Mus musculus: one gene and its partner. The protein of the gene in region 2 binds, or shares a complex with, the protein of the main gene of each other region. Links are inferred from orthologs where the notes say so. Each region holds a gene or a part of one and is shown on either strand. Other genes may lie near its edges.

Region 1 (6,354 bases), on a different chromosome or scaffold from region 2:
GAGACTGAGGACAGGTTTTGGAAACAGATGTTCCAGGTTTGAATACTATCTTGTATTTCTAGCTGTATGACCTCAGCAGTTTTCTCATACATTTAAGGTGGAGACCAGATAGCCTGTGCCATCCATCCTAGCTAGGCATGTACCCTTAGCACAATGTAGCCCAGAGGAAACACAGTGGAAGGCAGCTATTGCTGTGAAGGGAACTTGCATGGTACAAACATGTTCTGCATGCCTAAGCCCTGATCTGGCTACTGTGGACAAGCTGTGGGGACCTTCAAACTAAGAGGAGTATCCTGGTTCTCGTCCCTGGATAGGGAGGTTCTTGCAAGTTGATGTCCAGGATTTGGTCCAAGGGATACTAATTTCCCAGATGCATTATGGGTCCCACTATTCTGGCTCAACTCCACACTATGCAAATGCACAGACACAAGCATTTATCCAAAAAAACCATTTTTTTTTTATTGAGTAGGGTTGGGGACTGAACAGGAATGCACTGGGGGCCATAACCCGATTGGCAGAGGGGTGGGGGTACTGGCTCTTGTCCCGCCTCCTCTCGGGCACCTCAGGGTAAGGCCTGGCCCCCAGGCCATGGCTGTGGCGCTGAAAGCCAGGCTGGAGTGAGAGATGGGGGTGCATTTTACAATCCCGACTGCCTTGTCGGTTTGCAATTCCCCCAAATGGCCACCAGAGGGAAGCCGGGCCTCAGCGCAGAGGAATTCTCGGTTGCTCAGGTGATGGCTTCTTAAAAAAATAAAAAACCAGAGGCTGGTGTGTTCTCCCTGCAAACCCGAGCAGTGCGGGCCTGGGGAGGAGGCTCTGGTTTCTATGATTTCTCTGATAAAAAATAAGCAAAAATAACAAAATACGTGGTTTCTCTTTTTCCATCCCGCCCCCTTCGGAAACTGAGGTCAGAAATGGGGTCATGGAGGCTGAGGATACCCTGATATGAGCTAGATTTCTAGGTGTAGGTCTCTTTTTTCCCCCTTACCACCCATAAGCAAATTTATAAATAAATAAATAATAAATAAATAAATAAACCTTCTCTGTATGTCCACATATATAGAGATAAATCTTTCTCTCATCTAGGCAACTAAGTGATTAACCTCTGACTCTGGAGCTTCGAAATTCAAAAGCGACATGATCAAGGTCAAGTTTCTGGGAAGGAAGATCAAGGACTTGGAATGGTACTGTAAAATTCCCAGCCTTCTGGAACTGCAAACCACTTGGGCTGTGAGACATTTCCGAGTGGGACCCTGACCATCTGGAACATTCTAGAGCCACGCGGTCAGCTGGGGTGGGCCCCCCGCAGGAATCTTGAATAAGATCCTAAAACACCCAACGTCCTAGAACTCCAGAACCAGCTGGGTCTTAAGGGCGTGGAGCTGGGGATTGGAATTAAGCCCTGGTGGACCTAACACTCTGGAGTTCTATAGTAGTCAAAGCCACAGGTTCACCAGGATGAAACTAGACATCACTAGGGGACCGGGACCGGAATGGAATCTTGGAAGTGGAACAGCAGCAGCAGATGGCCCACAGCACCTTCTGCACATCTTGGTTGCGAAAGGCGTAGATGACAGGGTTGATCATGGAGTTGTAGGTGGCTGGGAGCAGGGTAAGATAGGTGTAGAGACGGGGAGAGTCGGCATCTCCCAGGAGGCAGTAGACAGTGAAGGGCAACCAACAGGCAGCAAAGGCGCCAAGCACCACAGCCAATGTGGCGATGCCCTTGCGGGTGGCCACGTAGTGAGAGGCAGGCAGCAGGTGTCGTTGGAGGGCGATCTGCTGGGCATGGCGGCAGACGATGCGGCAGATCTGGGCATAGAGCTGCAACATGATGCCAAACACCATGAAGAAGGCGATGGCCAGAACCACCAGATGGTTCTTGGAGAGTGGATAGACCACACCACACGTGGTCAGGCCATCCCGGCAGTTCCAGGCCAGCACGGGAACCAGCCCCAGGCCCAGGGCACCCACCCACACCAAGGCCAGCATCACATAAGTCCGAGTTACCGTTGTCTCTGAGTAGTAAGTGAGAGCATTGTACAGGGAAAGGTAGCGGTCAACGGTAATGGCCAGCAGGCTGCCGATGCTGGCAGTGAAGGCCATTGCTAGCACGCCGACCAGCATCAAGCTCATCTCTGGTGAGCCAATGCAGAAGTCAGCCGCAAAGTGCAGGACCAGGCCCAGGCCTGCCAGCAGGTCTGCTACGGCCAAGCTACCCACCAGCAGGAACATGGGGGCGCGGAAGGCAGGAGTGCCCACAATGATGGCCACCACCAGCGCGTTCTCGCAGGACACCAGGGTGCCTGAGATGCACAGCACCACATCCCAGGCCCTGGGAGAGGGCAGCAGTGTAGCTGGGCCTGTGGGTTCCTCTACTGGGTCCACGCTGCTCACGTTCACACTGCCTGAGCCAGCTGAGAACCAGGCCATAGAGCTTCCTGCTCCCCACATCATGGTACCTGTAGAAGAAAGGTCCTATGAGATGCTGGCAGGCCCGTATCCTGACAGGAGGCCCTTCGAGAAAAGAAAGCTGTCAGGATAACAGGTAGGGTACGGATGTCCTGCACACCCCACACCCCCAATTCATGTCCTGTGGTTTTTGTCCTCTGATGCCTCCAGGCCTCTAAACAGGGGTCCCTTTTTCTCGGTGATCCCTTTTCTGTGTCCCTTCACCCTCCCCTCCATTCCTCTAAGTCCTGAAGACCTCTTGGCCACACGTGGTCAAAGAAGTGAATCAAAGCTTACCATAAGTGAATAGGGGAAGCACAGGATTCAAGGTGTGCCCTCAATAGGCTCATGAATAGGGGAGGGAAACACGTCAAGAAGAAGAGCAGTCAGCTCCCTCCCACCAGACACGATGACTTGGTTCCTGAAGCTCCCAGACCCCTCACGATTCATGGGCACTGCCAGCCTCAAGCTCCGCCCCCAGGCAAAGCCGGTGCAGCTTCTTGCCAGCCCCCACTCGACATTCCCAGGGTAACACCTGGGAACTCATTTCCCCTACACTCTCCCAGACTTCTGACTCCGGACAGACACCCCACACACACTGCCCCCTTCTTCCTCCTAACCACTGGGTCTCCGTAGCAGACACCCCCTGGTGAAAGCCGGATTCCTGAGTCAGACCCCTCCTTCTGCCCGGACACCTGGATCTTGGGCCTGACTCCGCCTCCTGCCTTGGATAGCCGAAGCCCCAAATAAGACACCACCCGCTACTCGGACGTCTAGGTGCCCGCCCCAGACGCCTCCTGTTCTCCCAACCTCAGATGACCGCCCGTCCCTCTAGGGCCTCAGGTCCCGCAGGAATGCTCACCCTTTGCCGGGTCACCCCATCATACCACTCGAGAGCACCCGAACACTTGGGGAGCTGCCTGCTTATGCAGACTCTGCACATCCAGAGTCCCAGGTACGACCCCCCGACCCTGAGCAGGGGCAAGCAGCCTTCCGCCGGCCCGGCGCCCCTGCACGCTGTGTCCTCCCAGACTCCGGGTACCCGCGGCAGGGCCCACTACTCACCGGTGGCTCAGGACCGGGTGCGGCCGGGCCGCGGGGCGCCTCCACTCAGGTTCTGGCAGAGCAAGGTGTGCGCGGACCCCAAGAAGCCCCCGCGGCCGCGGGAGACGCGGCGTGAGTCACCCCGCCCCGCCCCGCCCCCGGCCACCGGTTTGGTGACGCCAGAAGCCCAGCAGGCCAATGGGCGCTGCGCGCTGGAGCGCAGCGCGTGCTGCGCGGCATAGTAATGAGGCCTCGCGCCGCCCGCTCCCCCATTCATAAAAAGTGACCGTGGCCGCGGCCCCGCCCCCTCCGGAGCCGGCTCTCTGTCCTTGACGCGGCGCCCTCTGCGGGTCGGGGGTTTTGGGGACACTAGTGGGAGAGCCTTAAAAGAGACTCGGGGAGGTCACAGAGGATGTGGGAAGAGGTCAAGGGATTGGGATAGTCTGCGGGGGTGATGAGTACCTTCGGTGGCAGAAACGAGCTGACATAAGACAGGTGATGGAGCGAAATGGGCGTCCCCGGTGAGGATGACAGGCTCTGCCTCTGATAGGGCCCCGAGGCGACGGTGACAGGAGCACGAGGGAGCAGGGAGGTGGGTGGCTGTGACGATATGAGCACGGTGACAGGATCTTGGAGGATGGCGGCTGTGGGACGTTGACGGTAGCGGGGTGTAGGCCTCCTCAGGACAGCCACAGCATTGTCAGGATGACTGCAGCATGATGGAGCTCGGGGACCCTAGGGTAACAGAAGTGGTGACAAGGCTTTGGAGATGAGTGTGCAGGTGAAGGAACTTCAGGTCACTGTGACCCTGTTAAGTGCTATAAAGGACTGAGGTGACGAAGCTAAATGAGAGCTGTGGGGTCCTGAAGTAAAGACCAAATGACTTGTGTGTGGGCCCCAGAGTGAGGGAACAGGGTAGGAAGTCTGACTGGACAGCGACCCAGCAGGTAAGTTGCTGTCAGGACAGGTCCCGTGATGTTGGGGTTGGAATAAGGAGCTGGGTGACGTCACTCATGTGGACCCAATAGCGTCCTCTCTGCATGGGAGGGTGCGCCTGGCAAGATTTCAAAACCTCAATTATTTATTCAAGGATCTGAAAAGCCAGAGCGAGGGCTGGGGGGGGGCGGGGGTGGTCACTTCCCCGAAGCAGCAGGAGATAGGGAGCCGGGAAGAACTTGGAAGCAGAAGGACTCGGCAGCTCCGTGCTCAGAGCAGCCTTCCTGAGCACCGGCTTAGGTACCCCAGGGGGTGGGGCAGAAAGAAAACTTGCTCTTTACTAGACCTGCCTGCGCCATCCCTAGGGAAATGCCCCATCAGATCTAACCCTAGGCACCAGTACTGTCCTTTCTCCCTTTGATCGTCTCTGGAATGTTCAAGACTTTAGGAGGGTGATGGGAGTCAGGGGTCGGATGTCGGTCTGAGGCTGAGGAAAGGAAGGAGGCCAGGAGTCAGGGAATGCGTCATAGCCTCACAGAGATGACAGAGCATGGGCTGGAGACTGGCAGGGTTTGGGCGGGATATGGGGAGTTCAGCTGGTGGAGGAGGTCAGGCCTCCAAGCCTAATCCACGCTTCCGAACCCTGTGACTTTGAGGCCCTGTTAGGCTCTCTGAAGCTGTTTTTTCATGTCTAAACGGCTGGGGACTGCTGGGGGCAGTTGGCCCGTTAGCAGCACGGGGCTGTATATTGGCTGTCAGTGGTGTATCTGGCCAGTAGAGGATGTCAGGGAAACACAGGAGGGCACAAAGAAAATGAAGAGTGGTCACAGGAGGCTCTGCCTTTGTGGGACCAGGCTAGATGGGGCTCTCCTGCTGCAGGCTCCTATGGGCAAGCTCCCTTCAGAACTCTCCTTTTAGCCATTTCATCCATAAATGGGCTTCCTGACCGGTCACAAATGACCGACTAACCTTCCCCTGGCCTTCCCTCCTTGCTTTGTTATCTTCTCAGGTGTGCAGAACTCCTGCAACAAAATACTCTCCCTAGTTCCCTTTTACTGTTTGCTTGGAGTCTGAGGCTGTCCCACTGTAGGATAAGGCATGTGACAATAATGCCTAGGTTTGGTTTGTGCTAGGGACAGTGCCTGATATGTAATTGGTATTCAGTTACTATTATCTGTTGGTTGATGAAACATAACAGGAACAGTCAAGGAGAGGGAAACAAAGGAGGCAGAGGCGCATGCCTTGAATCCCAGCACTCGGGAGGCAGATCTTGTGAGTTTGAAGCCAGTCTTGTCTGCAGAGTGAGTTCCAGGTCAGCCAGGGCTATGCAGAGAGACCTTGTCTCAAAACAAAAACACTCAAGTATGAGACTGGAGCGATAACTCAATAGTTAAAAGTATGTGTTGCTCTTCCAGAGGACCCAAGGTTGGCTCCCAGAACCCATGCGGAACCTCATTCATATTTAAAAAACAACAAAACTGGGCGGTGGTGACACACACCTTTAATCCCAGCACTCAGGAGGCAGAGGCAGACGGATTTCTGAGTTCGAGGCCAGCCTGGTCTACAAAGTGAGTTCCAGGACAGCCAGGGCTATACAGAGAAACCCTGTCTTGAAAAACAAAACAAAACACAACAAACAAAAATTTGTCGGGCAATAGTGGTGCATGCCTTTGATCAAGCAGATCTCTTGAGTTCCAGGCCGGCCACGGCTACACAGAAAAACACTGTCTTGAAAAAACAAAGAAGCAAACAAAATTGAAAATACTCATATATAGATAAAATAATAAAACAAACCCAGAAAGAGAAAGAGACACAGGAAGAACAGTAGTCCTGATGGGGATATGTCCAAAGAGAGGGCAAGGGCATCACAGGACAACAGCACCCCAAGACTTGGATATCCACTCCTCTCCATTCTGAGCCAAG
Region 2 (6,354 bases):
ATCTCACAGGCAAATGGAGCACAGCCTTAGACACTGTAATCCTGAGATTCCCTTGACAGGTTTGAGAAAATAAATAAATTAATTGTGGAGATTCACTCATGAAGATTTTATTTAAGCTATAGATACAGACCATTGTTAATTGCTGTTTTGATTAATCTGGCAAGAAGAATGAACGACTCAGGTTGGAAATGAGAAGTCTGTGGTGGGAGGGGCTCTGACTGCAGGATGAGGGGAGGGGTTTCTGCGAGGGGAGGGGACATGAAGAGCTGGGGACATGGAGAGCTGGGGAGTGGGCGGTGGAAGATGAGGGCCTCAAAAGGTACCTATCTGGCTGGCATAACATTTCTTTAATCGTCATCCTAAAAAAAAAAATCTTTATTTTTTTTCATCCTCAACTGATGCATAGAATTTCTTACCTTCAGTCCTCAGCTAAAGCTGCTTGAAAAAAAGATCGACATGCAAACATATACACAGTTCACAAGGCTATCCCCAGCTTCCCATGCAGTGTTCACACATTTAGTATTTATTTATTTTTATTTTTAATTGCAATTAAAATACAAAGGCAAGATTGTACTCCCAACATACAACTCCCAACCTTCTTAAACTAGGCCCTTCCTGCCACGAATTGTAAAAATATAAGTGATTGCCTTACCTCGGGCTCTTCGCTAAGGAGAAAATTATTTTATATATATAGATATATATTTAAATCCAGCCACGCCCACTCCCTTGAAACTAACCCTGTGTGTTTTGAATGTGGCCTTGCCAGCAGGGCTAAGGTACCCCCCCCAAACCTTCCTCCTGCTCTACTCCCCCCCCCCCACAGGTGGATCCAGTATGTGTGTGCATGTGCACAGAATACAAAATACACATGTTTTGAACAACCCCAAAGCCCTGAGTGTCTGGTTTTTCAACCGTTAAGGCGGGAGGGTTTGACATACGTATTGAGAAGTGAGGATATGCTTAGCGCAAAGGGGAAAAGAGAGAGAGAGACATACCGGGAAAAGGTTATGGAGGCCCGCGGCGGCAGGCCCCACTCCCCCCAGTCATCGGCCCAGCAGATTACCCAGGATGCCACGCCACCGTTGCCTGCGCGTTTTCCCTCTGCTCGCTGCAGAGAGTCTGCACACAGGTTATTACAGAGTGTACCAGCACGGAAAGTTTTGGCCGCGCCATGGCGCAAATCACAAGGTAACCTATTTTAGAGTACAAATATAAAATCGGCGGGTACGTTGAAAGTGCCTGGGATGGATACTGGGACACACTGAGCATGTCATGCACAGGCGAACACAGAAAATGGACACCAACACACACCAACAACAAGCTGTCTGAGTCGAAGCAGCCGTGCCAGGCGAGGCGGGGGCGCGCACCCGGATGGCCCTAGCCCACCGCGGTCACGAACAATCGAGCCGGGGGAGCCCCGAAGGGCCCACCCCAGCAGTTCTGGGCTCACCTCACGCCCCCGCCTGTCCAGCCTACGATCGCTGGCGCTGGCGCTGGCCTCCGGCCGGTAACGACCCTCAGTGTCGCTCGGCACCACTTTTCTCCCTGGAGGGCATATAGTTCGGCCACCCGAACTCTCCAAAAGGCCCCTCTCCCACCCCAGGGCAGAGTTGGGGGTCCCTCCCTGGAACTTCTAACAGGGTTTCCGGACCCCCTCCTCCCGCGGGCAAGGCCCAAGCCCCACCGGAAGGCCCTGCCACCCCCTCCCCGGGCGGCCCGGGCGGCCCTACTGCCCAGGGGCAGAAGCTGCCGCATTACCTAGAAGCAGCAGGCGGTGTGTACACATGTAGTCCATCTTCTCCTCCTCCAGTTGCTTGTCGATGAGCTTGCTGCGTTTCTTATCTGCGCGCTTCTGCTCTCGCATCTCAATGGCTTCTTTGCGCATCTGTTTGCGCCTCTCCTCCATAGGATCCTTGGCCTTCCCGGGGCTGAGGGATCGTGATCGGGTACACTCGGATAGACCGAAGCAGCTTCCGAAGGCTCGGGTGAAGAAGTTGCGGACTGGGTTGCTCCCGACCGTGTGGCTCCGGGGCAGGCCAGGGCGGCGGTTTCGCCGCAGAAGCCACTGGAAGCAGCCGGTGGCCCCTTCTTCCGACTCATCACTGGAGGACTCGATCTCGCAGATGCCAGACGATGCCTCGTACCTGCAGCAGCTTCGGCCCCGCTCGTACTTGTCAGGCCAGGCAGTCGGCCGCGGAGGAGGCCGCGGAGTAGGCGGGTCAGCAACCTGGATCTCGGGGCTGGGGGGTCTAAGATGGGCCCTGCTGGGGGCGGCAGAGGCTGACCGGCCAGCAGCGACTGCGCGGGCAGCAGAGGCTGCCCGGGCGGCAGCTGCTGCGCGGGCAGGAAGGGATGCCCGAGCGGCGGGAGTAGCTGAGAGTGACCTGGCTCCCCAGACCAGTGGACCTGCATAGGCTGCCCTAGCGGCAGCTGCCCTAGCAGAGGCTGACATTGCTGGGGCGCCAGGGACTGCTCCAGCGGCCGGATGGGCTCTAGCAGAGGGGACTGCCCGGGTAGTGGGCTCCTTGGGGGTGATAGGGGCTGCCCGGGCGGCAGGCTCCGCCAGGGTGGCAGAGACTGCCGCGGCTGCGGGCTCCACCTGGGTGACAGGGGCTGCCCCGGAGGCAGACTCGGCCGTGGTGGCAGGGACTGCCTCGGAGGCTGGCTCGGCGGCTGGATCTCTGCTGCCTTCAGACTCGGACTCGGCAGGAGTGGCTGGGGCGACTGGGGCTGCCCCTCCGTCAGGATCGGCGCGGACAGCTGGGGCTTCTTCGAGTTCTTCAGGATCCGACTGGAGATCTGAAGGCGTTCCTGGGGCTGTCCCGTCTTCTCCGGCATCGCTCTGGCTATCTGTGAGCATCGCGGAATCCGTAGGAGCTCCAGCATCAGATCCGGTAGAGACGGCTTGGGCAGCAGGGGCTGGCTTGGCATCCATTGCTTCAGGCTGGGTGGAAGATCCGTCCCCTCTCTCCGGAGAGGGGACTTTTCCTTCCACCGCAGTGGCGGTGGTAGGGCTTCCTTCCATCTCGGCTGCTTCTCGCTCAACTGGGGGTCTCTCTGCGCACTCGCTCTTATCTGGGGCTCCCGAGACTTCGATGGGCGGGCCATCACTTGCGATTGGGGGGCTGTCCATATTGACAGCGGTGTCGTCGTCGACCCCAATGGAGGCTCTGCCAATCTCAAGCAGGGGTCTGGTGATCTCCATCGGGGGGCTGTCGCATGCGAAGTTAGGAGGAGATCTGACAGCCTCGCGGAATGGTCTGTCAATGGCGCCTCGGACCCAGAGGGGAGGCGCGTTCTCGGCGGGAGCGAGGCAGAGCGCACTCGGGACCGCGACTGTCGGGAACTCGCCGCCAATGCCGATTTGTGGGATGACTCGCGGGAGTCCTGGGGGTGGGCTATCGCCCCCGAATTCTTCTCCACCGACCTGAAATGGCACAGATTCTTCAGGGGGAGGGCTGTAGTCTTCTCGGAAGCCAGCGTTTTCAAATCTGATGTTCCCGGGCTCCGCGGGAAGAGCTCTGGGGACCAATGCTTCCGGACCTCCTGGCGCAAGGTCTGGGACTTGCAAGGGAGGCTGGCTATGGTCTCCCTGGGCAGGCTCGTTGAACTCAAATGGCATAGCTTCTTCTGGTGGGGGGGTATAGGCTCCCAGGCCTGGGCTCGCGCCAGTGGGGGTCCCGGGCTCCAAAATCGCTGGGTTGAAGGCTTGGAGGCCTGATGGGGTCCCAGATGGTCCTGGCTGCTCCAGGGTGGGCCAGAAATCTCCCAGGCTGGGCTGTTGTGTCTCGAATGGCATGGCTTCCTCCGGAGGTGGGCTGTAGTCTCCACCCACTCGGACTTCCTCGAAGGCCTGGCAGGGGCTTTGGATGTCAGATTTGGAGTCTTCTGGGGGTCCACTGATCTCACTGCCAGTCTCGTCGGGGACGGGCTCATTGTTAGACGGTTCGGAGTCCGGTTCGGTCGCCATTTCTTCGGCTGGGCCAGCCCCAGCACCGGGGGCAGCTGCCCCTGGGGCTTCCAAAGGTTCTTGCTCGGGCTGCTCCCCGACTTCAGGGGGGATATCGTGTTGTCCTGACATATTATTGCCGTGGAGGCAGTTGAACATGCCCATAACACGGTGGCGACTTTTCAAAATAAATTTGGGGCCCCGTAAGACGGAGCACCCAGCCAAACTAGGGTGAAAAAAAATTTTTTTTTAAAAAATTCAAATTTTTGTTGGAAAGTTCTCCAGCCTCAGTTTCCAAACTTTGTAAGGATAGATAATCAGGGGCTAGAACCCAGGACCATGGCTGAAGTGAGTCATCTCTTGCTGGTGAAGTCTGTCACCTTCCTAGTTACACTTACCCCTTCGGGCTGTGGTCGGCCAACAACTTTAGGAACTTTTCTGTTCTCTCTTCGTACTTTGCTGTACTTTAGCTCCGCCTTCTTGGCATTTAAGAGCGTGCCGATTCGTCTCGAAAATCGTAAATAGAACTCTTTCTCTGCCGCCAGAGGACGCAGGTCTCAGTGCTGAGCCGGCTCCGGGAGCTGGCTCCCGGTGCCGGCTGCTCCCGACTTTGGGTAAGGGGGCTGATGAGCGGAGGCCTTGTAGGGACGTTCGGCTCCGTCCTCTCCTCTCCCGGACTGATTCCGAGTCTCTCTAGCTCGCTTTTTCCCTGGCCAGAGAGCGAGCGAGCTCTCTTGCGTTGCTGGGACACGTGACGCAAGACGTGGGCATTGGTCTGTTAGAGTACAGACGCTGAAAGCCTCCCTCCCCATCTGATTCTTCTCGAGGGGAGGAGGGACTGCAGGAGGGCTTTATCACCCCAGATTACCCCAGTATGCGGTAAATTCCTTATCTAAGGACCCCACACTCAGGCAATTACCCATACTCATCTCCAAGTCAGGAAATGGAGGCTTTAGGATACAAGGAAAGGGGTAGAGGCACACACACACACAAATGCGACAGGTGGTCGTGAGCCCACCGGAAGGGTAGAGACAGGGTGAGGAAGTGCCGAATGTAAACACGCAATTTGTTTCGTAAATGCTCTAGGGTACTTTTCTTTATTTCTTTTTTTTCCTTTTTTTTTCTTTTTTTAATGTTTATGTTTGCTGTTTGTTGGGGATGGCTCCAGCAAATCCCTTCAATGTCCCCCATCCCCATTACACCTCGGAGCTCTCAACAGTGGTATAGTGTGTTGTAGTCAGGGCTTGCTCTGTTTATATGGACGGTGATGCAGTAGAAATAAAGGTCTCAGCAGTGCACTGCAGAAAATCAAGCAAAGCCCCCTTAGGAGTTATTCATGTTTGCCGCTTTCGTGCAAATAGGGGAGGGGGCTTAAGGCTTACCGGAAGACCCCCCACCTAGCTCAGGTCTTGTACTTCTGTCTTCTGGGTAAAGGCAAAAGGAGATTTGGGGTGTAGTTGATGGCCCATTTAGGGTGGTCTCGCAGACTAGAAAACCTGAAATGCACTTAACCCACCGACCAACCGTGCCATGGTGGCAACAGCTGCCGAGACTCGCATCTTCCAGCCACCAGCGCCAGCTGCGGATTCCGTGTTCATTTCCTCTCTCAAGCCCTTCTCCAGCCCCCTTTTATCCCCTCCTCCTTCTGTTGTGAGCACCATAGAGCATTTGCTATACGTTGAACTGCAACAGTCCACCCAGGCGAAATTAAGCGCGGTCACAAAGCCTGCGGCTGCGCGCCCCTTGCGGTGCCGGGGTGGGCTCAGAGCTGCAGGAGTTTATACAGTCACATTGCCCGGTGGGCTCAGCGAATAATCATAAAATGCTTTAGGTCTGGGATCTGCAGATTATTCCTGGGCAGGGTTTTTTTGTTAATTGTTTGCCTTTGGGGTTCTGTTTTTTTTTGTTTTGCCGCGCGCCCGCGGCACGCGCACACCGCGGACATTTTGCCAGTAGGTAATGGCGATGGCGCGAGGCATTGTCTTTTGTTGCAATACAGCTAGGCAGTGGGCAGGTCTGGCCTGCAGGACCCTGAGAAAAGAGAGTATGAAGTGGTACATAAAGCAGGCTGCGGCAATTATGCACCATGCAGATGGGTATATTGCAAGATGCATGCTGTGTGCCGCGGCAGATTTAATTCTCTGAAGTCTAACATGTCCCTCTTCTCACTACAGGCTCGGCACACTACAGCCCCTTGCCTACAGCGTCCACGTGGTCACCCTGAGTAGAAGAAAGCAGACAAAGTGAACCCCCAGAGAATGCCTGCGACCTGCCGAAGGCGTGTCACCTCAACTCTACGGCTGAACACACTGCATGCCGGACACTTTGAACTTTGGTCCAAAGTTTGGCCAACTACCCTCCCCCACATATACACACACACACACTCAAAATGGCGAAACGGTTTG

What was found. The genes of interacting proteins can lie anywhere in the genome.
Region 1: the proteins of Gnas (region 2) and Gpr3 are in contact, whole or in part, in a cryo-EM structure (PDB 9LYB), measured with the Homo sapiens proteins. The link is inferred for Mus musculus from reciprocal best matches to the Homo sapiens genes GNAS and GPR3. Residues at the interface, in NP_000507.1 of Homo sapiens: Gln35, Arg38, Ala39, His41, Val217, Phe219, Asp323, Asp343, Leu346, Thr350, Tyr358, Cys359, Phe376, Cys379, Arg380, Asp381, Ile383, Gln384, Arg385, Met386, His387, Leu388, Gln390, Tyr391, Glu392, Leu393, Leu394; in NP_005272.1 of Homo sapiens: Met75, Arg134, Ser137, Leu138, Tyr139, Ala141, Leu142, Tyr144, Tyr145, Glu147, Ile216, Ile219, Val220, Arg222, His223, Gln226, Ile227, Leu229, Gln230, Arg231, His232, Lys244, Gly245, Thr248, Arg300.

What each region holds. Positions count from the first base shown.
Region 1 is NC_000070.6:133,208,903-133,215,256, forward strand, and holds Gpr3 (G-protein coupled receptor 3), read right to left. Parts: upstream 3,635-6,354; 5' UTR 3,517-3,634; intron 2,463-3,516; 5' UTR 2,458-2,462; coding exon 1,465-2,457; 3' UTR 438-1,464; downstream 1-437. UniProt on the Homo sapiens protein: Constitutively active G-protein coupled receptor that maintains high 3'-5'-cyclic adenosine monophosphate (cAMP) levels that a plays a role in serveral processes including meiotic arrest in oocytes or neuronal development via activation of numerous intracellular signaling pathways.
Region 2 is NC_000068.7:174,295,622-174,301,975, reverse strand, and holds the start of Gnas (protein GNAS), read right to left. Parts: upstream 4,118-6,354; 5' UTR 4,115-4,117; coding exon 1,759-4,114; intron 1,546-1,758; coding exon of another isoform or gene 1,271-1,545; exon of another isoform or gene 417-1,270; intron 1-416. UniProt on the Homo sapiens protein: Guanine nucleotide-binding proteins (G proteins) function as transducers in numerous signaling pathways controlled by G protein-coupled receptors (GPCRs).